Caenorhabditis elegans: one gene and its partner. The protein of the gene in region 2 interacts with the protein of the main gene of each other region in a pairwise test. Each region holds a gene or a part of one and is shown on either strand. Other genes may lie near its edges.

Region 1 (17,428 bases), on a different chromosome or scaffold from region 2:
AAATCAGCACAACATATACTCTTTGTATCTCTAATTCTCCGAATCTCTTGTTCGCATCTTTCACAACAATTCTTTCTTCTTTTCTACATCCATCGGTCACTCCACTTTTTCCAGTGACAAAATGTGCTCTGTGCTCATTTTTATCTCAATCTTGACAGTGTTGGCACAGTGCCAGAAAATCCCGAGTGAGTTTTTTTTTAAAATTAGATTGAATTGAAAATAAGTATCATCTCTGTTAAAAATTTTAAGAATGAATTCAAAAACTGACTGACATTATGACAAGTGAGAACTTTCCGTCGGGTTTTGAAATCCATACTTTCTGAAATTTTCTACAAAAATCAAATTTACTCTCGAATGAAACATTAATTGTTTTATTTTTTTTATCTTTTTGTTTCAAAAATTAGATTTTTTTTTATTGAAATGAGCTATTTTGTATGTATTAAATATTTGAATTCAATTTTTTAACATAAATTTCTATTTGAATGAAATTGTTTGGAAATGTTCAATGTAGTTTTTTTTTCAAAATTAGTTTATAGGATTTGATGTATCCAACTCGGAACTTCTCGCAATGGCTCAAAAACTTCGTCAAGTAGACACAAACCGTGCTCGTCCCGATCAAATTAAGCTCAACTATCAAGGACATACAGTAACCCGAGATGATAGTGATGCAGCACAAGCGAAACTTTTTTCAAAGGTTGATACTTCGCTGTTTCGTAAGCCATCATATGAGCTTTATATTAATTTAATGGACAATTTCAATCGACAAACCGGTGTTATTGAGCCACGTGTTAGCCAAGCTGAAGAGAAAAATGAAGTTGGAAAGTTTTTGGACTATGTGTTAGAGTCACGTCCAATGCAGGAACTATATAATTGGTTTAAAGCTAAAGGTGAGAAATTTATTTCTGTTGATTGAAAATATTAAATTTCTTAAATTTATGTAATACATAAATCCTGGTTGATCGGGCCAATACGTACTGGTACCATTGGTACCATTGAAAAACTTGTTTATTGTAATTTCAGGTCATCCAATCGCCACAAGCCCCCAAGTATTTCGGTTCTGGATTGGACAACTTTGGTTTTCACACTACTCAAGAGCTTTGGGACGCCCGGATACTTCAGGGTTTGAACATGTTTTTATTGGAGAAGTTAGTCAAGATTTGAATTCAATTTATAGTGTGAATATTTAGGCAAAAAATGGTGAAATCTCTGGAATGCATAATTGGGTTAGATTCTACGTGTTAGAGAATAATCGAACCGAGAATTTTGATTATAAAGGATTCACTGTAAAAAGATTCGTAAGTTTTTTCATTGTGAGAAAACTGGAAACTTTTTTAATTGATTTTCAGAACATAATGGCTGCACTAAAATTCACATGGGACGGCCTCTTGAAACGAGCTGGCTCAATTCTAATTGGAACATCTCCAGAATTTGATATGGCTCTGTATACAATGTGTTTTTTGTCAAGAAGAGGAAGAGAGACTTGTGATGTTAGTTGTGACTTTTGGAGTTTTTCTAATAAATTTAAGATTTGCAGGTTGAATTCGACGGATGTCCACTTCAAATCACAAGTTTTGAAATTATGCAACAGAATAAGGTTTGTGAAGTAAAAATCAAAATTACGGATGCCCAATATATGTAGTTGTGCCAAATGAGGCGTCTCAAATAAACTTCTTCTATTAAAAAAAACTATAGGAGATCACTTTTAGATTTCACAAAAAAAACATAACATTTGAAAGATAACGTTTCAAGTAGAGTTGAGACTAGGTTTTTTACCCAAATGATAAACAACAGTCCGAAAATAATTATGCTAAATAGGCCGAATATATCTGCTGAAAAATTATAGAACCTTCTTAAATGTTGTATATTTTCTCTATTTTACAACATACAATTACACAAAATAACGATATAATAGGTTTTTTTTTCAGGTGTACATTGGGAGTATCTATCCAACAGCTGGAAGAATAACTGATCAGTGTAGAGCTCAAAATCGATTCAATTAATTGAAACTGTATAAATACTATCGTTTGATAAATATATAAATATTCATTTTGGATAAACAATATATTCGTTCACTCTCCACTCTTCTTTTTTCCCCTTGCATATTTATTGAATACTGCATCGATTTTCGTTTCACGATCAGCACTGAAATTATTCATTGTAAGAAAATATAAACAATTAAAAAAAAGACTTTTGCTTATTCTCCCTTGCTTGGCGCGTATTCACTCTTACTTCAAATCCCTGCAATTATTGATTATAAAATCCGCAGAAACACAGTACCCTGTCTCGAAAAACGATCAAAAATATTTTTTGATGGCTGCAAAAAAGAATATGCGCCTTTAAGAAGTACTGTAGTTTCCATTATTTGTTGTTTATTTCTTTTGAAAAAAAAACATTGTTTAGAAAGACTATAAAGTGGAAACGTTGAAACTTGTGTACTTCTTAAAGGTGCACACACTTTTTTCAGTCTTGTATAAAACATTTATGTTAGTTACGAGACCGGTTACCGTATTCAAAATCTGAGTAATACCTCTGCTCTAATAGCTCCAATTCTGCGGCTCAAGTGCTTCCAGCATCCTTCATCAAAAGCCAATCGTTTCTTCATTGCCCACTGAAATGCATTCGAATGCTCATATGCAATTTTTCCATGCAAAAATGTTTGAGCTTGATCTCGATTTTCTCCAGCAAGAAGAAATGCAAAATGTGGATTGGTTTCATCTAAAATGAATTCTTGTTCTGCTTTCGATTCTTCTTTTTTCTTTTCTGCAGTTTCAGCTGATTTGCTGGAATCTTTCTGGTTGCCACATGCGACGTTTCTGTCTTCGGAAATCACATCATCGAGCATCAAAGGATTCTTCGTTTCTATGATTATTGCTTCTTTTTCAGATTCTTCAGATGATTCTGTCACTGACTGCGACGAGGAAATTGTTTCGGTTTTTTGTGGTTTACTTGTCTGAAAATGAGAAATTCATTTTTGAAATAAAGAAACTACCATACACATGATGTAATGAATACTATAAATGTTGCAATTGGAAAACATTTCACAACAAGTTGTAAGAAATCCTCCTGAAATAAAATTTGACATAAAAGCCAGACGCGAATCTTTGTAAAAAATACGGTACTGGGCACCCAGGGGACTCGAAACGACAGACTTATGTCGAAGGAAAAAAGGGTGTGCGTCTTTAAAAAGTACTGTAGTTTCAAACTCTAGTTCTTGCGGATGTTTCATCGATTTTTCATGGTTTTTCTCATAATTTGTAAAACATTATGTGTTTATTGTTATGTACGAGTTTTATAATCAATAATTATATAATCCGAAATTATGTTAGTACCCGTAATTTGGGTTTTTATGACATGCCCCAATTTCTCACACTAATCGAGTAATTATTAACAATAATAATATTATTATTGTTCCATTAATTTTTCTGATATTTCTAACATTTTATTTCGTTCAAAACCGTTCAGTTTTACTCGCTTTCGACTTGTAACGCTATTTTCTAGGTTTGATATTTCAAACCACGCCCCTTACCGTAATCGCGTGCGCTTCGAGACCCACGACCGAAGGTTTTGGCACCGGGCCAAGTGGAAATGCAGAGATGGTCCGATGGGCGACAGCAACCAGGCGATTGCGTCGACGATCAAGTAATTTAAAAAAAATTTTTTAACGGTTTTATCGAAATATATTACAGTACTCTACAGTACCCTTCAAAGGTGCATACCTTTTCACATTCACCAAAAAATTGTCGTCTCTAGACCCAGCACCGTATTTCTTCGGCGAAAATGGCCTAATACTCACCATGTTAAAAAGCAATACTAATTTTTAAATCTTGGGAAGTTGAAAATAAATTAATTCTTTTTTTTGTCGTTTTTTCCGATGTAATCGCGTATTGGACGTTTTAAACTTTGAATAAATATTCATTGACTCTTTTGTTTTAAAGTAAAAGTCTATATCAATCCACATAAGTAACAAAATAATTTTTGATGGAAGAAGAAAATTCGAAAACAAACAAATTCTGTCATAAATGTGAGGAGAAATTTAGAGAGAAAGGTGAAGGATTTTTGGGGGTTTTCAAGAAGCAATTAGACAGTTCACAACCGTTTTAGAATTATCAGCAGAAAATATGGATATATCAAGAGGTCTTACACATTTCGATAAAAGAAATACATATATAAATATATAGATTTGGGACTAAACGTTTTAAGAGAAAATGACCAAAGTTCGGAGAGAGAAGGCGGCGATCACAGTAGAGAAATGATTTGAGGGGACATACAATGCGTATAGAACATGGAAAAACAAGTGACAGGACACAGTGAACTAGATGAACAGAAAGAAAAAACAAGAAAATTTCAGAATATACTAGAGACAGCGAAGATTGTAACCGTAATTGAAATCCATTTTGTTGGGAGTTGGTAACGTTAGTTGGGGTTTTTTGTGTTGATTTTTGAATTGAAGAGAAGATTTTTAGACATAAACATTGAACATTGACAAAACGTTGAAAATGTGCTTGTCGTCAAGGTACTCAGTACCCAGGAGTGATTTGGGACCTATTTGGAAACTGGACAATCGGGGCGGAGATTCAGCATATCACACAGCAACACGTTGACTTTTGTCTTCTAACATCACCATTTCGGGAATCGGACATGTCTCCTGGAACTGAAAAAATGATGATAATTTCGTGGTTTTTCAAATTGGTCTTTTTGATTTCATTTTCAGATTCCAGATTTTTTTCTAACTTTTATAGTGAACAAAACATTTTTATAGTACCGATCCGGGAGAATGATATTATATAAGATATTTCTCATCTCTTTTTGGCAAAAAAAAACAATTCTTTCGCTTTTTTTCATTTTAGAAAAAAAAAAGATTTTTGGTTTTCGAAATCATGCACACAGAAAAATCAAAATAGTTTTTTTTTAAGGAAAAAGAAAATCACCTTTCTTTTGTCGTCTTCTTGTACTTCCACTTCTTTTCGGCGTTGTATCCAAATCGTCATCTGCATTTGTTTCGAGTTTCCTCAGCCACTCATCCGGTGACATTGGCTTCGCTTGTTTATTCTGTGAACTCTGGAAATAATACTTACACAGATGATGCAATCTCTTTTTTAGTTTTTCAACTTACTTTGAGCACACGTTTGCTCGGAGATTCTCGTTGATGTTGAAGAGATCCTTGAGAAGAATGTACATCAGCAGAAACATCTTCTTTCGACCACGTTCTAAGAATATCAGCTCCTTCTTTTTGTGCTTCAATTCTAGCAGGTGTAAGACCACTTCGATCACGTAATGATTGACGACGAATAGCTCCACGAGCTGAGAATGGATTATCTCCAGTTGTTGCTCCTTGTTGTGGTGACTCAAACTTCTTCCTTTTCTTACTTTGCCGTCTCGAATCACGAACTCCGAATGCAAGTCTACGTCGTCGTGCTTCTGTTTGTACCAATTGAGATATTACTTGTTTCGTTGACATATCTTCACATAAATCCATTGGCGTTTCGCCGTTCTTCGTCTTTGCATGAATATCACCTCCGTACTGACACAGAAGTTCGATGAGATCTGGTTGTGCCCAACATGCGGCTGCGTGTACAGGTTGCCAGAAATCATTGTCTCGGATCAATGGAGAAACTGAACAAGTGAGAAGAAATGCAGCAACATCGTAATATCCATTTGCAGATGCCACATGGAGCTGAAAATATTAAAATAATGTACATCTTTGAAAAAAGAATCACGAACTATAGTTTGTGGTTCTTTTTTTTCGATATTTTTCAAAATTTAATATTTAATTTTTTACAATAATTCTATTTGCGTTCATATTTGAAAATAGAAGAATGACCGTAAAATCATGTAAACCTCTAAAATAGCCATGTGTCGATTTACGTAGCTCGTGTACTCCTCGAGGAGAAGTTCTGTTTTTTTTTTTGCAAATATTTTCAAATTTTTGCTGAAGTGCTTCATTTTGGACCAATTGACCTTTTTTATTTTAAAGTATAAAGGAATTCAGAGTTTTCCCATATTTCAAAATAACGATATACTTATGTAAATAACTAAATTCTCAAGTAATTTTTTTTGCAAATTTTAAATTGAAAACTTACATAAGTTGATCCATCAGGTGCTCGTGCATCAAGCTCTCGTCCTTGTTGATGTAACATTTTCATATCATCAAGCATAGCCTTTTCAGGTGCACCACGCATTTCATCAATATAAGATTGTGTAATTCCTCTTGCAGCCATTTCACTTTCAATTACATCAAGAGTTTCTTCATGATCACATATATCGTATGGCATATTACCTTCTGCATTAACTGCTAATAAATTGGCACCAGCTTGAATAAGAATTTTTACAATATTAATATGAGCACAACATGCTGCCGCATGCAGAGGTGTCCATTGCTCAGTGTCTTGCGCATTTACATTTGCACCGCGTTCCAGGAGCAATAACATAATTTGTTGATTATCATCGATGGCACATTGATGTAAAGGTGTTAAACCATCATCATTATGAAGATTTGGATTCGCATTATCGTTGAGTAACCGTTCGACTTCTGCATAATCCGCTCGACACGTCGCCTCCAATAATTCTACTTCAGCTGCAAAATGAAGGCGTTGACGTCGCGGTCGAGGCGGCGGAAGGGCTCGTTCTCGTTCATCGTTTCGACGAAGTTGTAATCGCCGACGATCTCTGAAATATTTCAATTTTAGACTTATTTTTTTAAGGTGGAGTAGCATCATATTTATTTCTCAAGTATGCTCAACCTGGCAACAAAAGAAAATTTGAGATTTTTGCCTCGAAAGAGTACTGTAGTCTCAACTCCTCATTGCTGCGAAATTTTTATTGTCTTTTCAAAGTTTTCATGGGGTCAAGGCTACTGCTAGGTATTAAAAATGAAAATGAGAATTTCGCAGAAACAAGAGGTTGAAATAGAAGTACTCTTAGTAGGGATAAACTTTTTGCATTTAATGAACATTTTGTGTGGAGACTGGGTACCGTATTTTTGGGTACGACATCGCAAAATTTCGTATCTGGGTAATAGATAACCTATTGAAAATTCTCAAAAAATAAAATAAAATAAATTCCGCCGTTTAAACACCGAAATGCGCAAAGTAGGTTAACAATATTATATTTTTAATTGTATAATTAAATAAAAATTAACTTTCGGCCGCTCAGAGAAAGGCAAAATTTGTGACCGTCATTTTATTTTATAAAAGAAGTTTCAAAAATACTCTCAGCCTTTTTGGATCAATTTTTAGAAAATCCAAAAAAACTGATTTTTCAATTAAAAATCCACAAACCTTGCAAGAGCTATTCTCTCCTGAGCCGTCATTCTCTCGATCTCGGGCAGCTCGGCGATGAGCTCCGAGTGATCCATTTTTAAACTTTTTTCTGGAAAAAAAACACAATGAAATTTGTTTATATTTTCTTGAAACTCACACTGAGCTGAGCTCAAATGGTTCTAAACTCTTGACAAGGAATTCAGCCAGACCAAAGCAGATTCATTGATATTGATGAAGTTTCTGAAATTATTGAGAGTTATGAAAAATAAATTTTAAATCTTAAATTTTGCAAAAATTAATTGATATTCAAAAAGCACGCCAATGAATCATATCAAATCAAAGACAATGATGATGCTGAACATATAGAGGAGAAAAGATGAAAAGAGAAAGGAAAGAGTACATTTCAATCCGAAATATACACAATTTGAGAAGGAAGCTGCTGAAGGAAACAAAAGTGGAGAAAGGAAAAAGGTTTCTTGTTTCGATCAAAATGACCGGAAATCATGAGAGAACGGAAACTGAGATGATTGAAAACCATAAGAGTCCAGAGTGATCAAGTACTCTTAATAAAATTCCATGTTTATTTAAAAAAAATGAATCTTTAAAATCAAAACTGCTTCTGTAGACTTGTAGAACAATTTAGATCCCGCGCTCCCGCACTCCCAAACTCACAAAATCGCGAAATTTTGCGTCAAAAACTACGGTACACGGTGTCATCACGACAAATTTTTGTTAAATCAAAAATGATGTGCGCCTTTAAAGAGTAGTTTAAAGTCAAATTCTCGTTCCTTTACACGATTTTCATCGTTTTCCATTCAAATATTCCTAATTTATCTTTCATGTATAATATTTTAGCAAAAATAAATTTAAGACAGTATCCTATTTAGTAGTAAAATTTGGAATTTTTGAACAAAAATTGGACATTTTTTTTCTTTTTGTAAAGAAATAAAGAAAGAGTATATTCACATATTTTCAATACTAAAACAACAATTCGCGGGACCTTACGAAAATGACACCGGACGTGCAAAAAACCACTCGGATCACATCTTCTTCTCTCTTTGCACACTTCTCGGGATCCCTTTCATCACAAAACTGCTATCTCTCTGCCTCTCTTCACTCTCTCTTTTATTGAATGCAACACTTCCAAAGGGTCCACTATCACACATTGGTCGATCGGTGATGATGGTGGCGGAGTCTACGTGCCACAACCGATCACAGCTCAAGGACCGGCCAGCTGAGAAAATGAAGAGAGAGATAGAGTGATAAAGCTTAAAAGACAATAGGAAAAATGGAAAAAAAGAAGAGGAAGAAGAATTCAATGATAAAAGTGTGTTTTGATCGCATTTCAAACGACAAATGACTTTTTAAGATGCCAAAAGATCAATCAAAGTTCGAAAAAACAAACAATTAAAAGTATTGAGACAAACAACTAGTACTATAAACTAGTAAATAAAGTTAGGAAGGGATTTCTGAAATTACCAAAAATAATTGTATCCAATTGTCGAAAAACTAAGTTTGATAAATTATGCGTTTGAATTTTGGTGTGAATTTTTGATTTTTCAGCCTTCAATGTCTCAAAATTTAGGTTTTTTGAAATATAGTTAGTTTTTAGAAACTTTCGCCCGATTTTCTAATGTTTGGAAAATCGAAAAAAAAAATGTACAGAAAACGTCAGGGAAATAGATTCTCGAAAATGTTAATGTTAAAGTTAGAAAAATCTTTAAAAAGCAAAGATAGGACGGTATATTGGAAATCATTTTAACTTTTGAACATTAAAAAAAACGACAAATGATTTTCAATTTTTCTTGTTTTTTTTTAATTCGAAATTTCAGCAACATCCAGTATTTTTCCTATATTTTAAAGAAATGTTTTTTTTAATCACCGAATTTTTAATTTTTCTATGGTTTCATTGTAAATTAATTTTCCAATTTAAAAAATTCCTGAAAAAACCGAAAAATGGCTATTTTTCATATATTTCGAAAAATAAAAATTGAGCACAGCAATAAAAGAGCACTAAACACTCAATTTTCTATAAATTAATAGAAACATTAACCTATTTATGCTCATATTTGCAAACTCATCGATTAATCAATTCTATGCGAAAATGTTGAGGGTGTGTGATTTCTTTACTCTCTTGAATATTCTTATTCTCTCTGATTCTCCTATCAATTGGCCATCATTATCATGTCAAACCGTCTCTTATCATCGTTTCCTTCCATTCAGTTTTCATCGATACGGGGGCATGAAAACCGCATTTTTCTCATTCTTTTATTGGAGATTGAGAGCGGGTGTAGGGAGGAAATAAAGGAAATAAAGATGGAAATTAAGAGAATAAATAATTGAATATTCAGGTTTATATGTGATTTTTTCTGGCTGAGACTATTTTTAGCTAATTTTCAAACTTTAAATTTCGTAATAATTATGTTTTAAATCGGAAACGGCATACCAGAAAAGAGAAACGTAATTTTGCGCTTAAAATACGGCATTTGGTCTCAACACGACAATTTTTGCTAAATACAAATGAATGTGAGCCTTTAAAGGGTACTGTAGTTTCAAACTTTCGTTACTTCGAAATTTTTAATTTTTTAATGGTTTTTGGGTAAAAATTTACTTATTTATTTATTGAAATCTAACTTTAATGTTTTTTATTTTAGTTTTAAAAAATTTATTAAAGGAAAGCTTTTAAAATCGATGAAAATTCTACAGCATCGAAATTTTGAAATTACAGTACTCTTTAAAGGCGCACATCCTTTTGTATTTAAGAGTAATTTTCTTGTCAAGACCGGGTACGGTATTTTTAGATCGAAAATAGCAAAAATTCGCAAATTATCTTTTTTTTTTCTTCAATTTTTAATGGTTTTTTGTTTAATTTTAAAAAGAGAATCAACTTACAAATATAATGTATCTTTTCTTCTTTCGTTCCCTTGAAATCCCCGATATGTCTCCAAGTGCCAATCTGAAACAATAAAGTTTTGAAATTTAGAAAGAAATTAGAAATAAAAAATAACTAGAAGCGGCCAATTTTTAATGAGATCTTTTCATCAAATAAATTGAGAAATAATGAAGGAAGAGGTGAAAAAGAGAAAAAGATGAAGCAAAAACAGAAAATAAATGAAAAAAGAAAGAAAGAAAGAGAGAGTAAGAGTTTATATCAAAAGGTGGTCTTTCCTCCGGAAATTTGAGACGACTCTCTCCCGATAGATGGATGATTTCCCTTATTGGCTATTCAAGAAAAGTTTCAAGAGATCAATGATGATGACAAGAGACGCAGAGTTTGTAAGAGCAACGGTATATTTATATAGAGTTTTTATTGTTGCGAAATCTGAAATTCGAGCAAAGTTTGAACATCATATGTTGCTTAACATTGAAAAAACAATGTTGAACGTTTTTTTTTTCAACATTTTGAGGTTATTCACGAAAAATTTAGTTTTGAGAGTGATTTTTTGAGATCAGAAAATTTAAAAAAAAACTCGAAAACTAATAACTTTTTTAAATAAAAAATTACAAAAAATTTTTAGGGCAATTTTCGAAAACCGAAATTATATTTATTTGAATTTAGGTTTTTCAGAATTTTTTTAATTTACGAAGAAATACGAATTTTCAAAAGATTTTTTAAATGTTCATCAGAAAAACTTATTTATCTCCAAAAAAGGTTAACACTCGGATATAATTTATTGAAAAATCGAAAAAAAAAAATATTTTTTCAGGGTTTTCAGTTTTTCGGACGTTACCGAAAATAACTTAAAATGTTTCGATTTCACTTTTTGAATTTTTTTGTAATTTTACAAATGAATTCAAACTTTTACAAGATTTTGATAACATTTTCTTCAGAAACTGTGAAAAATTAAAGAAAATTTGCAAATATCGATGATGAATTTATAAGTTTTTAAAATCAAAATCGAAACTTTTTCGTTTTTCGATTATTAGAAAATTCAAAAAAAACCACACCCTTGTCTCTAAAGCTCTGATTTTCAATAAGTTCCGTTTAGGGGCACAAAAAAACGCGTTTAACCGGTGTAAGTTGTTGCTGATGGGAGAAAAGACAAAAAAGAATGCTCTCTGGGAGCTCCCTTGCGTCGACCGGCGGTAGTGGTGTGGCTCTTGAGACGAACATGCGTGTCTTGTTTGCAAAAACAATCAAAAAGGAGAAACGAAGGAGAAAAGGAGACGACGGACATTGATGGAAGGATTTTAAAAAAACTAAAAAAAATAATATTTCTGGTAGTTCTGATGCTTGAGAAAACGAGAAGAACGTCGTCGACGACACGAGATTGACCTTTGTTGAATTGAGAAATAAAGTTGAGAAGAGGGGAACTGATTGGAACATCAGTAGACACGTGATAACATGAGAAGCGGGGTGATCATGAAAGATTGAATCTTTTTTCGACAGGAAGTTAGATACTATTCTATATGAGAGAGAAATTAGAGATTTTCATGAAAAAATGGTGATTGATAAGCAATTGTGGCTTAAAAATGATTGGAAAATATTTATTTCAAGATTACGATTAACCTACTTAGAGAATTCAGGTTCTAACCATTGTTCAGTTTTTTATTCGATTGAAAAAAAAAACGTCAAAGCAGAAATGTGACTACTAGAAGATATGAATTATGAGAATCCATTGAATATTCATAAGATTTTTGACGGATACGTTTTCTCGTTTCAGAATTGAAGAATATCCGACAGTTTATTTGAAATCAATTGGAGTAACATATAGGAGTAATAGTGGGTTTTTAGTGGTTATAACTGTTTTAAAATTTGTAACTTTTTTTTGATTTTGCAAAAAAAAAAATTAAAATGGCTGATTAGACCACACAAAGTTTTCTGGAGTTTTTTCCGACAACGGTTTATATCGATTTTTACTCTATGATTTCACCAAATGGTGTCATTTAATTTTTTTTGCAAAATTGAAAAAAAAAATTGTATAAACTTTTTTACAGTTATATTGGGTCATTATGATCTATTTCTATTATTTGAGTTTTAAAATCTGCCTCGATTCAAAAAAAGAAACTAGAAACATACATTTTTCAGTATAGTTTCCCTTATCAATTTTATGATAGAACGAGCAAGCGCCCACATGAGAGATGTGAGTTTATAGTTGAGTCAGAGAGCATTCGAAGGGCCAAATCAAAACGAGAAGACAAACAAATAATGACTAACGGAACGGGAAAAGTTATTGGAACGTCACAACTTCTTTTTTTGGAAACATGATTTTTAATGCACTATTCGACGACAGACTTATAGTTAGAAATTTGAAGATCGAAAATTCAGAATTCCAATTTGAAACGGATATTCGACACCGAAGCACACGCGATTCCTGTTTTCTGCATTTCCGAAATGTGCTGGAAAACATGGACGATGAGGCTATTCATGTCACTTTTCCGGCAAAGTTCTCATTAAAATTCCTCATCAAACTCTTTCGAAAATTTTCCTCGAATTGAGACAAAGTAACTCGATGAGTCACTTTTGAAGGAAAAAATATATATAATTTCTTTTCTTTTTTTAATGTAAAATCTCTTAGAATTTAGTATGACATATGAAATATTGAAGCTAAAGCAACACAAGAAACACTATTTCATTATCCAACGGAGCATCATCGTCTCGGAGCCACTTGTGAGCTCCTCACTATTTGGAGCTCCAGAAGGCAAAGACAAATTCAAGTGGAGATGTGAAAGATGCAGAAAAGCAGAGAGAAAAAGGGTTCGATTTTAATTAAAACCATCCATCGAAACTACTCATCTGGAGAAACACACATAGCATCTTGCTCTTTTGTCAGAGCATTTTTTGGCAAAGAGTGTGTAAGTGAACAGAGAAAAGTGCTGCCCACATGGACGCGTTTTCAAAACTCCGTAGAAACAATTTATGCTTCTTCCAACACGTTGCCAAGCGTCTTTTGTGTACTTGCAGTTAGAATAATAAATAAGAAAGACCGATTTTCTTTGGACTCTGTAGACTTTTTCGTTTCGAAAATAGCTACAAAATGAGCAAAAAATGTATCTTTTCCAATGAAATTTCGATATTGTGAACTAAAGTTTTCATCAATAAGAATCAGATTGCATTTCAAAAGATCATTCACAAATAATATGCGTCAAAGAAATAAAGGTAAGTTTCCAAAAATAGAATAGCAATAACAGGTGAAATAGTCTGGCATCGCATGATTTTTGGTTTTATCTCATATCAAGTTCTCTGGGAAAAATTAAAAAATTTCAAAACTGTATTCTTAATTAGAATTTCAACTGTGTCCAATACAATTATCTAGATTATCTCTGATACATGTAGAATATATAACTACATAAACATAGATAAATATTCATGATGTTTCCTATCAGGACAATGCAAATGAATTGTTGTCCGGTAAAAAGGAACCATTGACACAATTTAGAAATGACGTGTGTCATATTCACCACCAGAGGGTCACCAGATACCGGAAGCATAATAATTAACGGCCGGTAGTGGTGTTGATGGTGGTCTTTCGGAAAGACCCCCCGAGGAAGTCTATGATTGATCAGTCTGCGTCTGTGTTCGCTGTATTTTCCACAACTCTCTCTTGTTTCTCTCTTCATCTCTCCCATTTCTTGACGACCTTTGGAAAAGGTGGGTGAAAAGCAGGAGGAGGAGGAGGAAGAAGTGGCCGCTCGCGCAGGAGAGCAAAATGAAAAATGCAACACAGAAATTCCAACGCACAGTTTTGCCTCAATGGCAGGCAAACAAAGTGCAAGAGGAAGAAGCAGAAAACTACTTGAGCTTGGATTAGTCTTTGAACATCCTTATCAGTCCCAGTAAATTATTGCAAGTCTACCGATTACTTTCCAAATGGCACTGAATTACAGAAATTCTCAGCTACAATTTTATAAACGCTAACACAACTATTTAGGAAGTATGCCGATGATATTCCGAATTAAAAATGAGAAAAACCTTTATTGCTGTCTTCGTACCAACCTATGCGCCTAGATGGTTCCAAATTTATATGTGCCTCTGCATTTTCGTTCCCACCCGTCCCGTCAAAACAAACAAACAATCAAATCTTTCTGGTACTCTCCTAAATTAATGTGATCTATCGTTTTCACCAATTGGGCTTCTGTGCACTCGGTGTTCGAAAACGAAACGAATCGGTTTGAGTTCGGATGTTCGAGAGAACGGTGTTTATGAGAAGAAACGCAAACAATCACAGAAATCGATTGACCGTAGTTAAGATCTAACAAGTTGATAGGATTAACAAATATGACGTCAATTCAATTTTCGAAGACAAACTATATTCAATGTGAAATAGTTTTTTTGACTGCTGTGTTATCATGTAAGATTCATGTTTAAAAAGAAATGGTAAGGAATTTTTATGGAAAAAAAGAAGGATGTTTGTAGACTCAAAATCTCAAACGAGATTTGCAAGAAACACAATTGCCATCTGTGGGCGGATAATCCCCGAGAAAAAAGAGAGGTCGCTTCTGGAAAAGGGCACCAGAAAACGATGTGAAAAACATCTTATGTGGGGGTGGTGGTGAACGGCCAAAACTAAGATGTGAATGAGAAAAATTCCATTTTTCAAGTTTTTAGGTAAGAATGGATACTGTATTGGAAATATGTTGGTTCGGTTCACTTAATATTGGATAATTGCCTCTTTTCGTTCGTTTTTGCTTGATTAAAACGAAAATCAAAACTCAATTTACGAGATTTAGATGTGAGAGAGTGAAAATATTGGTCTATGAGAACGGAACAAGAACGGAACAAATTGAGTCGACAAGAGTGAAATGGATATTGTTGGTAAATATCGGAAACTGCGAATGAAGCGGATAAAAGAAGAATTGAGAAGAAAAAAAAGTTAAAGACGTCCTTTACGGAAACAGACAAGAGAGACACCGTGTAATTTTCTGCCGAATATCTTCGAATAAAGAAAAAGGAGAAGATGTTCTCCCCGTACATTTTTATATTTGTTGACGTACTTCTTCTTTTTTCAGACTTTTTCTCTGGAATAAAATAACACTTTATGATGAAGAGACGCAGGGTGAGAAAAAATGCCTAAAAAGCAAGATGCAGTGAAGGGACGGGATAGCGAGGTTAGGTTTGTTGTGTGTGTGGAAGCGAATAAGTGAATGAATTGTGTCGATGGACGGAGCTTGAGAGGCTGAAGAAGCAAAGCATGAGAATAGAGTGTGGAATTATAAGAGACGCAGATATATTCACATTACCTTTTTCGTCGCATTTATATGAACACTATGTTCGTCTAGAAACTGAAAAATTATAATATTGTTAGATACAGTTGAGTGGAAACACTGAAGAGATTTGCGTAATTCCTATGATTTTCTTTTCAAACCAATGCAGTTAAATATCAATGTGAATCTTGAAGATCGCTAATTTTCTTAAAATCTAAATTTTCAAAAATGAAAACCTGGTTTCCACCTTGTCAAATATAGCCTACGCGAAGTTTCGAATCAATGATTTCCTTCCAATCCGCAGATTTTTTCATCCTGTTATATTTTTTATTCCAACTAATTTGGTTGTTTTCTCTTTTCACAACGATACTATGACAAGGTGTTCCGAGGCCCTCAATGATGGGAATCATCAAAGTAATTGGGATTACGATGAATCAAAACCTAACCGGTTGTTTCAAGAAGAACACATCCGTAAATAGGAATTTTTAGAGAAATAAGAAGTGAGGAAACATGTAAAAACTTCTTGCAAAATGAATGATATATGGTAGTAGTTGGGAACCTTAACCCAACAACCACACCTATAATCTATCGACCTTGAGATCGGGTGTCGCCAGTGAACTATGTCAAAACCGTGTCATCGATTGAAAAGTATACCTATAATAGTTGTAACTATGTATGTATGAAAACAAGGGAAATCATAATAGTAATAATAGTCACGAGCGATGATGATCATCATCATAGTTGTTACATATCCGGGCGAGACATCTATTTCTCGTTTTCTTTTTTTAAAGTGTTTTTGTGTGTATGTGAAAGCCATCCCATAATTGACACGCTTCACTTGTTTACCATTGAAAAATTGGATAAAAGAAAATAGAAAAAAAAGTATAAGAAATTAGGTTTGTCGGATGAATCAAAAATCGAATCTCAAAAATAAATTGAGAATCCACGTGGCAGATTCAAACTAGAAAATCTGGAGAACGGAAGGAGAGGATAGACATGTAGAGGGAGGAAATTTGCGCGAATCGCCCATGGCTATTTGGTTTGACTCGACAATGAAAGAATCCACTAGAGTGCACACAAATCCGATAGTCACAGAGAAAGAGGAGACAGTCCTCTGGTACGAAAAGGTGAGTAGTCGGGCCGGGGAACCGTAAGGAGTCTCTCGTTGGGTCTGCTTTCTCTTCATGGCGTATAGTCACTGTTGTTCGAGTCTCCTGTACGAGACGGCGACCCTCTTGGGGGGAGGCCGATTGAGAAGAAAGTAATCGAACACGATGAATAGGGAATAATATAAATTTAAGAGAGACACAGAGATATTAAACGACAGGTAGATACAACAGTTCGCAAGGAGCGAAAATGACTCACTATTTTATAGATGTATTGAATTTTGAGATATTCACTAGTAGTTATATGTATGTGGGCAACAATGGATTACCTATACAAGAGGAATATGATTATACTAGAGGACAGTTCGAGTGTTAAAACTTCACTTACAGCTAAAAACAGATTCTCAGAACATCGGAAGAATAGAAATATACTTTTTCATAGATTTACAGAGCAAAAAATAGCGATAATAAAGGGGAAATATATATTCTAGAACAAAAGGTCTGGGAAAAGCAACTGATTTTATAAGCAACTGATTTTGCGCTGAGAATAGTTTTAAAAATTCATGATTTCTATTTAGTATGATTAGGGCTGATAAATTCTACAGTAAATGTACGTGTCACAGAGAAAATTGAAGGTTGAAACGCGAACATTGCTAGTTTTTTTTTTCTCGCCGAACAAAACATGATCAAAGTGTGTGACGTTCTGCAATCGAACGACGTTACGATTATTGTAAGAAATATTGTTGAAAAGAAATAGGAAAAATAGAAAAAAATCGCTTAAAATTGGAAATTTAGAGAGGAAAATAAAGAATTCCATTCAATTGAATTCAAAAAACAAAAAACTGTTTGCACTGATTTTGCGTCGTGGTGGGACCCATATGAGTAAACGAGACATGCACCTTTAAATTACGGTACTTT
Region 2 (16,049 bases):
GAGATTATACATATATTTCTACTGTTAAATGATAATGAGAGGTTCAAATTATGCTGGTATGACAAGCAAAGAAGCGTCTATGAAATTCTAACTATTTTTGGAATTTAATGGGAAACCTTTTTCAAATATGCGTATTTATAATAACATTCTAAACGTTCAGCGTTACGGACTGCAACTTTGAAAAGGAAGTTTGTTGAATTTGAGTTTCACAAAACATTACCAAAGATTTGACTCAGACTCAGGTACCAAATTTCCGCACGAGAAAAACTTCAACAATGGTTGCAAGATAGCTTGAAATAAAATTTTAGAAATTATTTCGAAAAATGTGTGGAATTACATTATTGGCTGAAACTGCAGAAAATTTAGATATTGGCAAGTAAAGATGAAAGAGAAGGTTCAAGAAGTTCATTGGAACGCGGCGGTAAATGAGTAATCTTTAAATCTTTTCAAGTATTGGGAAAAATCAGGTAGATTATGAAACAGTTAGAGAACATCATAAGCAAGAATGAGTAAACTGAGTAAAAGTTGTAATTATTAGAAAAAAAGATTTAGAGAAAAGACAGGAAGACAGGAAGACAGTAACCGGCATAAGTCTAGACGGAAAGAGACATAGAGAGGAAGACATTGCGTGAATCCTCGGTTCACGTTTCGCGCGGTGCAGTCTCCCTCCGATAGGGAGAGGCTTCTTTTTTGTGCCCCCTTTCACCAACAGAAGAACAAATATCTGCGTCTCACTGATCAATGCACTATTTCGAAGCTCAAGTAGTTGGTTCGAACCGACTGGATCATATGATAGATACTAGCAATGAGGAGGGAAGATAGTTACAGGTAAAATGAAGAAAGATCCGAGGATATTGGATACTGTTGCCATTGAAAATGAAGACCGATGGCAAAATGAGGAAGCGGGAGGTGGATGATGACTGGTGTCAAGTACCGAAACCACTTGGACAATAGGTGAAAAGAATACACGGAAATGAAAATCAAAAGAAGAAATGCAGGTGAAACAATCATCAAAGATTGGTAATTTCAGCAGCAGGTGTTCGGGATATTCATAAAAATAATAACATTTTGAGTTAGTCATCTTGAAATATATATTTATTTTGAGCATATGTGCCAAGTTTATTTGTCTTTGTTATTTAGAGAAAAGTTCAGAAATTGCCGTATTTTCTCATTTAGAACTGCGTCACATTGCTCAACATCCTCGGTTTCCTTTAGTTTTGATAAAAACAATTGTCAACAGAAAACAATATTCATTTATTTTTTAAGTTTTTTGATTCACTATTCTTCTATTCTCAAAATCAATAGAGATATAATTTTTTCAAATTTGAAAATATAAAAAAAGCTGAACCATTTCATATTGCATACATTTGAATATATATGTACGATTTTTTGTTAGGGAAATTCAATAAGTTGCGTTTTAGGCTTAAAAACTCAATCCGATTAATAGTAAATGTGATTCATTAGGAATGTTCAGGTAATATTTGTATTTTCTAGTAAATGCAGTAACAGTTATCTACAGTAAAATGATGCCGAATGAGATGAATGTATGTCATGAAAATCACTTTCAAAACCAAAACCCCTTTTCTCTCAATCCTTTTCTACACTAAGTAGTTGCACGCCCATACTCTCGTTTTTTTTGGAAACAAAATGTGAAATTTATTGCCCTCATACTGAATATATGGTATACATTGAAAGGTTTATACAACAAGGGATGTTCATTGGAGACTTTCGGGAACAGTGGTAGTTAACAAAAAAAGTATTTTGGTAGGCAATTTGAATAGTGTCTCCTTCATAAGAATCAATAGATTCTGGAACTTAGGAGACTAAAAAATAATAAACCTCACGAAATCTGCCTCTTCCTATATTAAATCCTGAAATTGCATACTTGACAGAAATAAAAAATAAGGGCACGTTTTCGACATGGGGTGTCCGACAAAAATGTACAAACTTTGAGCTTTAATAACTTGGCTCATAGCTGGCGCTTTTGCATTCACTAAGTGCGAATGACTCAAAAATAGTTGCCCCACCATGGTCATTATTGAGGGGATTAATTTTGGGAAGGGTAGAACACTGATTTGCGCGGGTTTCTGGAGACCGCGAAAATTGAATATTTTCTTTGCACTGAAGAGTTTTATATTTTTCAATACCATACGAGCAGTTTTTCTGACATTTGGTTCCAATTTGAGCACAAGAGAGAACTTCGAATTACCAATTTTTTGAAACTATTTTGAAAAAAATTGACCAACTTTCCAAAATGTAGGCCATCATTCAAATTTTGCAAAATTAAAAAGATGGATTAAACGTGAAAAACTTTCCTACCACTCTCTATTTTTGGGGATGAATTCGATAATTTTCATTTCTTATTTTTATAACGTGAGGAGAATTTAATTTTAAAGATTTTTCAAGATTTTTACTTTTTCTCTAATCCTATTGAGGACCGCACTTCTCGGACATTTTGGTCACTTTAAACCTCACTTCCAGCAGGGCAGGCTGGAGGCCTGCAATGCTATTGTTTTTCACTCAAACCCAAAAAATCCTTTTTACTCTTAGAAACTTTAGACCTTTTCTATCCCTACTCCCAGCAGAGCAGGCTGGAGGCCTTCTATGAGACGTATGTTTCCATAACTACGTCTGTTTTTGGAATGGTCAGGTAATCCGGATTGAGGGCCGCAGGCCCGAATACATAAAAGTATTGGACAGCCATTAAGCCTATTCTGAGCCCAATAAATCAGGATGAGTGCCGCAGGCCCGAATACACTTAAAAAAGACCCAGAAAAAATATTATCTTCAAATGGCCATGGCTCAGTCAATTTTGGTTAAAAAAGATCCAAATTTTCCCCAGTTTACCAACTTAATCTACTGCGAAGCCTAGCGCGCTTGACGCGCTAGTCACTTTTTAGCACTTTTAAATAACTATGTTTTACATGTTTCAAAAAAAATTCTGACGAATTTAAAATTTTAGGTTTGATTTACTACGAAATTTAAGTGTGTGTCATTGAGAAATCAAGTATTTCTAATGTCCGAGAGCCCTAATGTCTGATGATTTTGCCATGAAGACTATGTTGTTCAGAGATGAATATTCTCAAATATTGAACTTTTATTAGGTGGGAGGGGTTGACTTTTGAACCTAAAATCAAATTTTATTCAAATCAAATTTTTTCTGAAATTTTATACTTTTCTTCTATTTCCCAGTGAATATTTCATTTTTCTACAAAATATCTCACGATTTCCTTCGTTCATCTCGAAATTCAATTCTTCATCTTCTTGTACGGTCGTCTTTTCTGGTCATTTTTCCCATTACTCGTCCAATTTTTTTTCCAACTCCAAACGGGTTTCAACAAGATGTCATCTCCTCTTCTTTTTTTGCCTCGTTCGGTTGTCAGAGAAACACAAAAATTTTGACGGAATTTTCTAAAAATTCGGTTGGCAGACCGGTCAGCTGACACCGGTTTTTTTTTAATGAGAAAATGGGAATAAGGTAAAAATGGCTAAAGAATAGAGAAAAAGATGCAAAAAGATAAAAATTTATTTTAATTTCTCAAAATCTGCCAAATGAGAATGTACGTGAAAAAGATGAGGGAAAATGACGTATTATTGAGAGGGTAAAGTGGAGGCGGGTGAAATGAAAAAGAACAGCGAGAAGTGGACTATTGACAAGACAATGCGGTTGGTTGAGAGATGAGAGCTTACTGGTATTTCAAATATCCATTGGTAAATACCAAATGGAATGATTGAGTTATGACCAAATTATATCGCTCAAAATAAATAAGTATCTGGATTGGAAAACTCATAAGATACGGTAATTGTTGTTCAATCATGGACGAATTGAGCATACCTGTGCAAATACATGATATCATTTTGTTTTTAGATGCTTTAGAGACAAATTTTTCCTCGAGAGTTGAGAAGGAAAAACTATTGATTTTAGAAATTTAAATTTTGAAAACCGGGATTCATTGGTGAATTTTACAGATATTTGTCACTATTAACAAGTCTTTAAGTAATAAATACAAATTAATTAAGAATGCATAATAAATGTAAAAAATTCTACCATAAATTTTTATCACGGCGAGACCCATCCTATTGAATGTTTTAACTATGGAATCACTCATAATTTACGTCCAATCACAACTTAACTAAAGGAAAAAATAACATTTAAAAAACCATGTTTACTAGAGCTAAAGTAAAATTTAAAACCATCTTGGTTAAAATGAAGTTTACCTTTTATAGGCTGAATTATACATTTGAAAAAACCCACCAAAAAAGCAATAATCTTGTCGTCTGATGATTCCTCTCTGTTTTTCTCTATCTAAGCGAACTGCAATGGGCGGAGCTTTAAACAACTGGAACATTTTCAATTGCAAATAATGTGAAACACAGTCAATGAGACCGAGTGGCAACAATTGAAGGAAATAATGTATTTACTTGTGAAATACTCTCGTAAACTCTCAAAGTTGTCTGCGAAACGGGCAAAAAACTGTTCGAAGTTTTTGCGACAAACTGTGAAATGCTGCTCAAACACGTCTTAACCTGTGTGCTCCGTCTCGTATTACGGCACTGTAGAGCAAACTATGAGTTCAAACCACACACATATTAAGAACTTTGAGCATTTTGAAATTGGAATGCGAGGATTTTATTACACGGCAAGATTTTGCGATCTAAAAAATAAGGTCCCCGGTCTCGACACGACAAACGTTCGTTAAATGCGAAAAGGCGTGTGCCTTTAATAATTACTGTAATTTCAAGCTATTGCTTCGGAATTTTCATTAATCATTCATTGTTTGAAGAAAAATTTAATCAAGAAAACGAAAAACAAAGCATATGAATGTTAAAAAATCGTGTGAAACACTATGAACAATCTATGAAAATTCCGAAGCAACAAGAGTTTGATATTACAGTATTCATTAAAGGCGCACACGGGACCTCATTTAATTCGCAAAATCACAACAAAAGTGTTTTTTGTTAACTTTTCCTTAATAAAGAACAACACAATATTCCCAGATGTGAAAATTGTAATGACGCTGGGATACGGTACCCGGTCTCGTCACGAAAAAATGTTTTAATAAAAGCTGCGAGAAAAAAGACTGCGCCTTTAATGATTACAGTGGCGTCCATTCCGTTCTGCTGTAGAATGCAATTTTCTTCGATTTTTCACATCTTAAGATTCCTTCACATTTTTCTGTAAAATAGTTTTTTTCACATGCATACTTTAAATTTCTGAAAATAAGGAACTTTCAAAAGAAAATAAAGCGAAAAATTGAAAACATTGTGCAGCAGTCAGAAGTGTAAACTACTGTACTCTTGAAAGACGCACACTGCTTTTCACAGAAATCATTAAAAAATATTACAGTCGTGCCGGGTCCAGGTATCGTATTATTGAGTCGAATGGTTTATAAATAACATTATTTTGGCGACGAAATCCATTCTGAAAACTACCAAATAGAATTTTTAAAAAATAATTGCCCAGTTTAAAGGATTATGTGTTGCAGTTATTTCTGAAATATTAAATTTCCCTGATCTTGATTTAATGTTTCAGAAGTAATTGGTTTCCCTTGGCAGGATTCCTTCTCTTTATTCTTTTTCCATCCAACGAACATTTTATTTCTATTCTTGTACTCATTCCAAACAATGTGATTCATACTTTTTCCATTATTTTTTTGCCTGAAGACAGTATGTGTTTTATAAATACTTTGACCAAACACACACACACAAAATTTGAGTGACTGGTTCTTGCGCAAGAGAAACCTTTTGGAAAAAATATTCATTGGAATCAGTTGGAGGAAAGAAAGAAGGAAATGGGGGCGAGAAAAAGGAACGGGGGGAGCTGTCGAGAAAAATTCACTATTTTCGAATAAAAACCATAGAAAATTATCAGTGTGCGTGTTGTTGGGGCGGATCAGAATTCAATATTCTAAAAAATAAGAACGAATTCGCTCTCGTACTTTCAGAATGTTTGTGTGATTAACATTGTAAGAATAAATAAGCTGCAACTTTAAATCGGAAGGATTTTGATCCCGGTGTGTTAGGCTCACAACTAAGAATAAAACAGGATAAGAGCAAATGGAAAAAGAGAGGCAATCAGAAAAAAAATATATGAGAAAATTTAGCTAAAAATGGAGAACACAGAAGGAGAGAGAGAAAGATTTGCAATCTGTACTCGCCAGAAAAATTAAATTATATTCGATCGAGTACAGTTGCACAAAAATAGAAAATCAGAAAAGAAAATAATAATGAAGAGCATTTAAAACTCGTTTTTGTGCGGGGTGGGGTGTATTGAGGGCGAGAAAATAATAAAATGTTTGAGATAAAAGAGAAGGGAAATTCAAAAAAAACGGACAGAAAAGTAAAAATCCGAGAGAAATGAGTAAAAATGTAGGCAAAAATGTTCTTTCTCCTCATCACTTTACTTCTTACCAGCAGTCGTTCCAGGCCGTCCTCCGCCCACTGCTGGTCGTCCACTGTTCATTCCTTGATACTGATATTTCGCTTTTTTCTCCGATGGTTTCAGAATCTGTAAAATAAATAATGAATCAAATTTTTCTAATTTATTTGAAAAAAAACAATTTCAGTCTTATCCGATCAAAATTAATTCTATAAGCTTTTTGAGTATAAAATTATCTAATAATCACTGATGGTTCAGTTTGGTCATTATTTCCCGATAGGTTCAAGAGGATATTGGAAGAAAAAGAGTTTTGACGTAACATGGGATGCAACTACTTGAGTTAGATTGTTTTTTCGGGAAAAGAACAAATTGTCACTAACTGAACAATTATCAACATTATATATTTAAACATTTTAAATTTTTTCCGAAATGTAGGATTTTAATAAAGAAGTACCGTTTGATGGTACTTTTTCTCTCATATTTTGATATGGAAAAGAAAGAAGATGGAAGGTGAAATACTAATACAGCTCATTTTCGGTTCCTGAGATTTCTAAGATTTACGAAAAATTATTGATTTTTGATACAAATTTCACGAGATTTTGTGAAATATATTCAAAATTAAAGAATTTGATAGTTTTTTTCACGTGAAATACACAGCCACTAGCATTCTAATTTTCTCGATCATTTTAATACGAATTTGTAAATATGCCGGTGCCGTTTTTCTCTAAAAAGGTTCATCTCATGCTAGATTATTTCTTGATGTGATGCGAATGTTCAATGAGTTCCCAGCCAAAATTAAATTTGAAGAGCAGGAACTTTTACATAAATTCGATTTTCAATCTCACGAGGTTTCAATTTTTCGAAATCGGTTCCTCTTGACCAAGGATGCCCGACCCCTAATTTAAAAATCAATTGTAAACACATTTAGAAAATTGGTTTCTGATTTTCCATCTTGTTTGAATTTATTCCATTTCGGGGATCTGGAATATTTGGAAAAAGAATGAAATTGTTGGAACGTGTATTGACCCACGACGTGGCTAAGAAGATCGTATAACGTGAACTCTATGAACTAACTTATTTATTCCTTAGTTTAGTAATGTAATAAACTACTCGTCTTCTCTCCTTGTTCGGCCTTCGAATACATAACAGAAATATTCTTACCTGGAAACTGCACATTAATGTCTCATCAACGCTCATCATTCCACCAGCGTTATCGAATTCTCCACAATAATTTGGAGCAGAGAATAGTGTGACAAGTTGTCGCTTAGCAAAGAACTCATATCCATCTTCGACGACCTGATGAGCTCTGCATATCAGATCCAAATCATGTCTGTTCAAAAACTTTGCAACGACATCAGGTCCAAATGTGAACGAGACTCCTCTATCATTTTCTCCCCATCCGGTAACATCCTTGTCTGGATCAGACCAGAGCAAATCGCACAACAATCCAGTATCAGGAACATCGGTTGGTCGCATCACACGGCGAATTTGTTCCATATTTTGGAGATCTGGGGAGAGTCCTCCGTGACAGCAGAAGATCTTCTCATCAATGAGTGCAGCAATTGGAAGACAGTTGAAGCAATCGGTGAAAGTTTTCCACAATTTGATCGAAAAACGTCTCTTACCTGAAAATTATTTGGTTTAAAGACTTTTCAATAACAATTCCAGCAATTTTTACTTCTAAAAATTATTAAATTAAAATTTGAGGACCTGGTCGTTTTTTTTTGATATTTGATGAAAATTTGAGTATAAGAATCTGAAAAAAAGAGAAATAAGAAAATCTTCAAAATATACTGATTTTTTCAAAGAATTCAGTAGCTATTGTTCTCCAAATTTTTACATTGATTGAAAATTGTAATTATTCTGTTATTTTGAAAAAATAATTGACATAATTTTCCTTTTTTAACTATCGAAATTTGCTGATTGAACTGGACAAATTTTAATAACCCAGAATTTAATGGAATTTTTCGTTGAAATATAAATTAAAATATACACAACCGATGCATGGTTATTAAGAATCTTTTTGTCATCCGGAGAAAGTTTCTACTTGATGTGAACGGGCGTATGAAAATTTAAAAAAAAGCGAATATTTTGTTTTGGAATAATTTGTTATTACGTATCCATGTGCGGGTGAGAAAAATCGCCATATCTTAAGCGCAAAAAGCACCTGCGTCTCTTTTTCTCGCATGCTATCTAACGCCTATGCAAAACGCCTATGGCGAGAGAGCGTGTGGAGAAGAGAGACGCAGGCGTCTCCGCAGTTTTCATCAAATCATGGACACGTAATATCTCAATTAATATTTCGAATTTTCTTTAAAGCAAAAAAAAACCTTACATTCATCGTAGAATCCATAAATACGGTTAATTGAAGCACATTCGTGGTTTCCACGAAGAAGGAAAAAGTTTTCTGGATATTTGACTTTGTATGCGAGCAACAAGCAAATTGTTTCCAAGCTCTGCTTTCCACGATCGACATAATCTCCGAGGAACAAGTAATTGGCCTCTGGTGGGAATCCTCCGTATTCGAATAAACGGAGCAAGTCGTTATATTGTCCATGTATGTCTCCTAAAATTAAATATTTCTCATTCATATTGAACTTTTAGAGAAATTAACATTCTAAATTGTATGCTGCGAAACTTTTCAATGACATTCGGACTTTTTTTCCAATAATCACATACGTTCAGTGATGTTTTTACTAAATAATTGAACTATCTTTGAATTTTTAGACAGAATTTATAAATAATCGAAGACTATTGACCATATTCTCTAGTCGTCTCTTACATTGCAGACACAAAAACGGTTTTTGAATAATAAAAAAACTCACCACAAATCTTGAGAGGTGCTTCGAGTTCCAGAAGAATTGGCTGTGATAGGAAGATCTCACGAGATTTATGACAAAGAGCACGGATCTCCGCCTCCGACATGGTAACTGGCTTTCCTGGACGACATCCGCGAACTGAAAAATAATTTTATTGAAAAATCAAATTAGTCACTTAAAATAAGCTTTAAAGAGAATTAGTAAAATTTTAAATATTAATTAAATTTTTTACGACCGTAAAAATCGGAAAGTGGAAAAATGACAGAAATTATTGAAATAAATAGTTGCCAACCATAATAAATAATGATAATTGCTATATTAAACAAAATTCCTCAAAACCAGAATATTTGGAATTTCTAGTCGGAATTTCAAACAAATAAAATTCAATAAAATTTCTGAACAACTATACAGCTGGTTTAGTTCGAATGTCGATATTAGATCAATTTCTCTATTAACTTTAAAACCCACCTTCAAGAAGTCTGGTGATCAGATTGTCAATGTTTAAATCTCCATCGTTCGACATTGTTTTTGCAGCTGCAATCTCCGCGGCTTCTGTTGGTCACTTTTGATGGATGGCAAGTGATGTATGTTCTTGCAATGTTTTTGGCCGACAACTGATATTGGTTGTGGCTGAAAGATAAAAAATTAGTAACGTTGGCGTGAGAATTTAAAAAAAACTTCAAGGAAAACGTGAGAAAATTGATAAGACTAAGCTTAAAAAGCATCAAAAAACAACAGCAGTAGGATGTGATGCGTATCATTACAATTCCAAGAGGAAAAATGCAAAAATGAGAATTTTATCAAGAAATTGTAATGCGAATATAATATAGTTTTCAAATTTCCTGATTGGATTATATTTTTGAAGAATAAAAACCTTAAAGTGATTTGTTTCAATCGGAAACTCGATGACGTGATGGACACAATATTAAAATGTTTGAGAAAGAAAGAACACATGGTTTTTAACAATCGATATGCAAATTTTGAATTTGAAAAGGCAACAAACGCGTGTCGTGAAAACAAACAAAAAAACTGAATTATGTGAAATTTGTGCTATACTGTTTCTAAACATTGAAAATAGAAAACGAGCAACTGATGCCTTGAAGAAAAAAGTTTGTTGGTGTACTAAGAGAAATTCCTTCGTCCTGTGGTAGCAAAAGACAACAAAAAGAATTGGGGAGCAAACTGAGACCATATTCACTTAAACACCTGCGTCTCTCAAATTCGAAACGTGAATCACCGCTTTATGCACCTTGAGGCAAATCGAAGCTACTCTAATACTCTTTTTTTTTCTGGCCAATTTCAAGTTATACACCTATATAGTTTTATCGGAAAACGGTAACGAGACGACGCCCGTTCCTTCTCTTTGCCGTTATCAACGACCCCGAGGAGGAACATGTCATAAACACGACACCGTCGTCACAGCAGGCGGATAACTTTACAGCACTAGAAAAAGGAAATGGTGAAGATATGATAGAGAGAAAACAGAAGCTTTCAAAGAGAAACATGTGTGGCTGTAGTCAAGCAAAGTAGGTTCATCAATAGTGGAGGAAAATGAGGAGATCGGGATGAAATGCCGCGTATAAAAAGAGGAGCGAAAAGTGACGACGGACTGAGACGCATGTGTATGTGCCTGTCCCTATGTGTGAGTGTACGAGTGGAGCGAGAGACGAACGCGCGCCGATCCACCGGCCACTGCCCGCAGTATTGATCGATAACTCGCCACCGTCGTTTCCATTCTTTCGCCGAAACAATTCGCAATGTTATTGCACTACCTCCGGTGGCACGTGCGATATTGGTTCGACACTACTGACATCGTGTAAGACGTCATGGAATCAAAAACGGCGACAACTTCCGAGAAGGTTTTCTTATCACACTTTGCGCATAGTCTGTTATCTTTTGAAAAGGGTAACGCTTATTCTTGTGAGAAAAAACAACAATAAAAAACGGCTAGAGAAGCTTGAGGTGCTCTTTCTTTCTCTTCTCTAGAACAAATGGGCAAAACGAGATGTACAAGTATTTGATTTGCACGCAGAACGTTTCGAAAAGAGGAAACGACGACGAGAAAGAAAAGATTGAGAAAGGCAAACACTTCCTGTGCGGTAAAGATATACGACATTCCAGACTTTTTTCAAACAACACTTAATAAACAATTTTTTATTATTAAGCATAAAATTATGACAAATTGTATGTTTCTGCCAACAAAATGTTACAAAAAGAACTATTTACGAGCCATAAAATTTCGTAATTATTTTTCTTTTCATTGCGCGGTGTAAAACTTTTCGATGACTAATATAATGTTAACAATATAAACTAAATGATAACACATGTTATTCATATTTTAAACCAACTTCTTTTCTATTCAATCGAAATAAATAAATTCTGGAATAAATACCCCAAGAAGTCATTCAAATCACCTTAAGCCTCTATGACATTACGGAAAATAGTTATATCAAACGAAAATTATTTAAAAAAGAATAAAACTACTTGATTTCGTAACATAAACAGTTTCATAAACGAAAAAAGCGATGAAAAACATTCAAAAAATGCAATAGGACAAAAATTATTTTGAAAGTCCGCAAACACTGTTCACAAGTTGACGCACAATTGCACACAAAAAACCACCGTACTAGGCTCCTTTTTTGGAGATTTGTGAAAATTTCGGAATTACGCTTTCAAATAAACAGCTAAAAACAATTATTAGTCAAAAACTTTTCTCACGAAAATTTAGTATCATGTTCGAGCTTTGATTGAGGTGAAAGAAAACGTAAGCACATGTGAAAAAGATCGAGAGAAGGCAAAATAAGACCGAAAGGAAATGAAAAAAGAGGAGGAAAGCAGGGACGGACGGGGCAACGAGATGCTCACGTTGAGATGAGGGTCTCGAATTCAATTTATTGAATCGCGCAGAAGCAGAAGCAAAAAAAGTTGTTGACTAAACAAGTAACCGCAAGTTTTTGAGAGGGCGAAAAATAGGAAGAAAAACGAAGATGACAAGGCGCAGAGACCGGGAAGAAAAACCGTTTCTTTGGGCTCGAAGGAACGCCTTGTGCTGGAAAATAAAGACTGATTCAATCAAATGTTACTATATATGAGCATACAGATGCAATTAAGATTTTTCGTATAAAAAAGTTTAGGTACATGCTTCTAATGAAATATGTAATGAAAACAGAATGTGATTTAGTTATTCAACATACTGTAGCCGCAATTAATAAGATCACATTGAAAATATGTATCGAAAAAGTCTATGGCTAGAATCATTCGTTATTTATTTGCTATCTGCTTTCAAATAGCGCTGAGTCGACTCAGTAACTACGAGATAGAACAGAAGCCTTCAAAGACAAGTACGGTAATTGTATGTTTTTTATCAGTTGATGATTTTCAGCTAGCTTAGCTTAATTTTTAGATATTCGTGAGCAAAAAGTGAAAACTCAGCAAGTTTTTGAAGAACATTGAATCAGCTGTCCAAAAGAGTTCGTGAGTGGGAGGAGTATCAGTTTTTTAAATAAAAATTCTATATAATATTCAATCACCATATTCCAAGAAATTTTTAATTTAACATTTTTGGCTCTTTTCGAATGAATCGTTATTATAAAGGCATAAACAAACATCTCGGGAGTTTAAAATGGGAAATAACAGTGAATTCGTTATGAACTGACTGTCTCGTCTGTATTCGATGTGAAATTTCCCAATAAACGATGGGAAAGTGTCGGAACGAAGCGATAGTATAGCAATAAGGTCAGAACAATTGACGAGATTTAGAGAAATATACATCTTTCACATCACCAGCGGCAACATTCGGAATGATTCAAGTCATTCTCCGACCACTTCCTCCTAATCGAATTACGAAGAAACGTTCTGTTTCTTATTCTTCCAGATGACCAAGACTAAAAAAGAAAAATGAATCCACAGAAACAGAGAGAAAGAGAGTACAATGTGACGGCTTCAGAATACCTAATAGTAAGCATAACAGACGTTTATTTTAAATTTCAAAACACTTCAGGACCAGAATACACAATCAAAAGACACAGGTCATATAAGTCAATGTTTTGTGTAACAATGAATAGAAAGACGTGTGTTTTGTGTTGAAAAAGGGATAAAGATCAAGAGCATCGGAGACACGTATCGATTTCACTTGTCTTTTTTGTTTAAAAATATTGAAATAAGAAAAGGTAAGTAACAAAACATACTTCATCTTTTGAACTCATTGAACACGCCACCGTCAACTATGAATCATAGAATAGGCCAATTAAAACGGAAACATTTATACAAAATGTAAGATTTAAAGTTGGTTTGTCACTTGTGGTCATATTGTTTTTTTGTTGAAAATATATTTAATTTCCATTTAAACACAAAATGAAATTTCAGGCTTAGACTTGATTTTTTCTAAGTCTCCAAATAAAAATAATGATGCCATAAATGATCATGTTTTGATTGAAACAAAGAATTACAAACATTTTAAGTGTACAACTACAATACCCAAGTGCTTTGAAATTCGCCCACCGGGTTTATCAACTTTGGAACTAAATTTGATAAATACCAAGAAATAATTAACGCCCACCTGTATCTAATAAGGAAATGTCTGACAGACTATATATCATAGAACAAATCTCGAATTTAATGCTTTCACAATTATTTCTAACAATGAAAACAAACCAATTGTAAACCCATCAAGTAAGTGGAGTGAAAAAAATGAAACCAATATATATATATTTTGTTAAACCAATACCTAAAATTTTCATTCATTCACCATAAAAAGTTTCTGATCATTTTCTGAAGAAATATGATACTTTTAGAATTCCCACCTCTTTTGTTTTTTTTTCCAATTCCAGAGAATAATTAATGATAACAAAGATCTACTCCCACCCATTCAGTAAATGGTTCAAAACAGGAAGTTGTTCTCTAAAGCATGTCTGGAAGAAAAGGAGTTTTGAAAAATGAATAATTTGCGTATTTTCAGAGAAAATATTTCCGGTTAATACCGTTGGGAATCTAAGAGCTCAGCAATTTGTTCCTAAACTCAATAATAAACTTTTTTTTTTGAAATGGAAGAGTCTCCATAAAAATGAAAGCCATTAGCGAAATTCTACAAAAACACATCATCATAGCTTCGAACGACAAAAAAGTTTGTAGAAAATAACCAAAACAAGAAAACAAAAAACATGGGCTGAAAAAAACGGAAAAGTGAATGTGAAGAATGCAAAGAGAATCTTCGTCTTCTTCTTCTTAAAAATGACGTCGTTGCTCTTTTCCACACTGAATACTGCCTGTTTCGTGTCTCCTTGTGCTCAATAGCTCATGGAGTACGTAGTGAGAAAAACGACGAAGACGACGACGAAGAAGAAGAAGGAGAAGAAGAGGCGAGAGAAGGGCTCTTGGAGCAAAAGAAAATGGGGCACCGGGCCAAGACCCTTTGTGTTAGAATGAGAGAAATTGAGAAACAGACGGTTGAAAAAAAAACAAGAACATGACGGAAGAAGAGAACGAAAACCTCTGTGGGAGAAAGGAAGGCATTGATTCGGGAAGAAAAGAGAAAAACGAAAAAGAAACAACGAAAACTGGAAGACAAAAAAGTTTTGGGTTTTTTGAATTCGAGAAGAGAATGAAATGGAATAAACCAAATAAACTAGTGCTGAAAATTGCACAGCGGCATTCGAATTACATTATCTAACTGGTTTTCCGAGTGAAGCTGCAGCTTACACATGTGTATATGAAAGTTTGAAATAGTTGAAAATTGGATATCTGATGTGAAGATAATTTTTTTTTTTAATTTGGAAAGTGTTATTCAATGAAGTTATAATAATTTGGAAGCTTTGTAATTTAAAAGTAATTTAAAAGTATTTACGAGAAGAAGACGTCTCTAAATGAGGACTACATTTGGACCTAGTTTCATCTTAAAAAAAGAGCTTTTCTAGCAGTTATTGTTTTTGGCTCTTCTATGAAGTTAACTTTGGGAAGAACGGCTGAAAAATTAAAATAACTGTCAGTGTTCAAACACTGTAACGAATAATCTTTTGGCTTATGGAATGGCACACCTAGACATGTCAGTTATCACTTTTCCTACGTAATGACACAAGCTGTGTAATGATCATCTAGATTTCATTTTAAAATTGAAACCACCCAGAATGCTTTGTTTTTCGGGTGAGAGATATGAGGAAAGGCAGTGGACGACAAAACATTCTATCCTTTGATCATCTAATATTTAGGCAAAGTACAATTGGTCTTGCCACCCATTTTCCTTTCTTGCCACCCAATTTTTTCTTATTCTTCAGCCGTTTTTGCTCTTAGTGAAAAAAGCTGAACATCAGTTTTACACGGTAGAATGAATTAACACAAAATATTTGCAGAGTCAAAACATTTGAGCATCTAACCTTTTTCAAGTTGTAATTTTGAGTCAAGTATCATTTATAAAATTTTCTCTCCAATATCTGAGACGACTACACGTCGGAACAAGTAAACAGCAATTTAGCATAGAAAAAGTTGGAAAATAAGAAGATTATAGGCAACGAGTGCGTGGGAAATTTGATGTCAACATGAAATAATAACACGTTTTTATTATCAGTGACCAAATCTCAAATCTTGCTGAAAATGCATCAAATTGAGAGTATTCAATACTAAATACTTACAGAGATTATCTGGGGAAAATGCGACCTGGCTGGCGTTCATCTAACAAAAAGCAAAACACATTGACGTAAAATTTCCAGAAAGATTTCAAAATCACTTGACGTCGGGAAGACTCAAATTAGATGGAATTTTGTTGGAAAAATATTTCTGGCGTTTTTTAAAGGATATATCCATAGGTCATGGCAATACGAATTTGCAAATTTAATTTTCTACGGCAATCAATCTAATCA

The links.
Region 1: the proteins of gsp-1 (region 2) and gfi-2 interact in a two-hybrid assay, tested with the Caenorhabditis elegans proteins (one large-scale study listed by BioGRID).

The regions. Positions count from the first base shown.
Region 1 is NC_003279.8:9,730,610-9,748,037, reverse strand, and holds gfi-2 (ANK_REP_REGION domain-containing protein), read right to left. Parts: upstream 10,223-17,428; 5' UTR 10,152-10,222; intron 8,536-10,151; exon of another isoform or gene 8,387-8,535; intron 7,500-8,386; 5' UTR 7,419-7,499; exon of another isoform or gene 7,417-7,418; intron 7,369-7,416; 5' UTR 7,355-7,368; coding exon 7,278-7,354; intron 6,667-7,277; coding exon 6,081-6,666; intron 5,675-6,080; coding exon 5,114-5,674; intron 5,071-5,113; coding exon 4,929-5,070; intron 4,652-4,928; coding exon 4,575-4,651; 3' UTR 3,892-4,574; downstream 1-3,891. Other genes in the region: Endoribonuclease endu-1, read left to right, coding at 122-185, 537-887, 1,021-1,145, 1,188-1,295, 1,347-1,487, 1,535-1,594, 1,926-2,000; K02A11.2 (SPOR domain-containing protein), read right to left, coding at 2,070-2,142, 2,189-2,238, 2,528-2,950, 2,995-3,063, 3,794-3,796.
Region 2 is NC_003283.11:10,676,201-10,692,249, reverse strand, and holds gsp-1 (Serine/threonine-protein phosphatase PP1-alpha), read right to left. Parts: upstream 9,829-16,049; 5' UTR 9,722-9,828; coding exon 9,667-9,721; intron 9,337-9,666; coding exon 9,205-9,336; intron 8,946-9,204; coding exon 8,715-8,945; intron 8,005-8,714; coding exon 7,541-8,004; intron 6,509-7,540; coding exon 6,401-6,508; 3' UTR 5,745-6,400; downstream 1-5,744. Other genes in the region: F29F11.20 (uncharacterized protein), read right to left, coding at 3,687-3,835, 4,256-4,349. UniProt on the Caenorhabditis elegans protein: Serine/threonine-protein phosphatase which antagonizes the function of air-2 in the regulation of chromosome cohesion. Dephosphorylates histone H3 at 'Ser-10'. Dephosphorylates translation initiation factor eIF2alpha.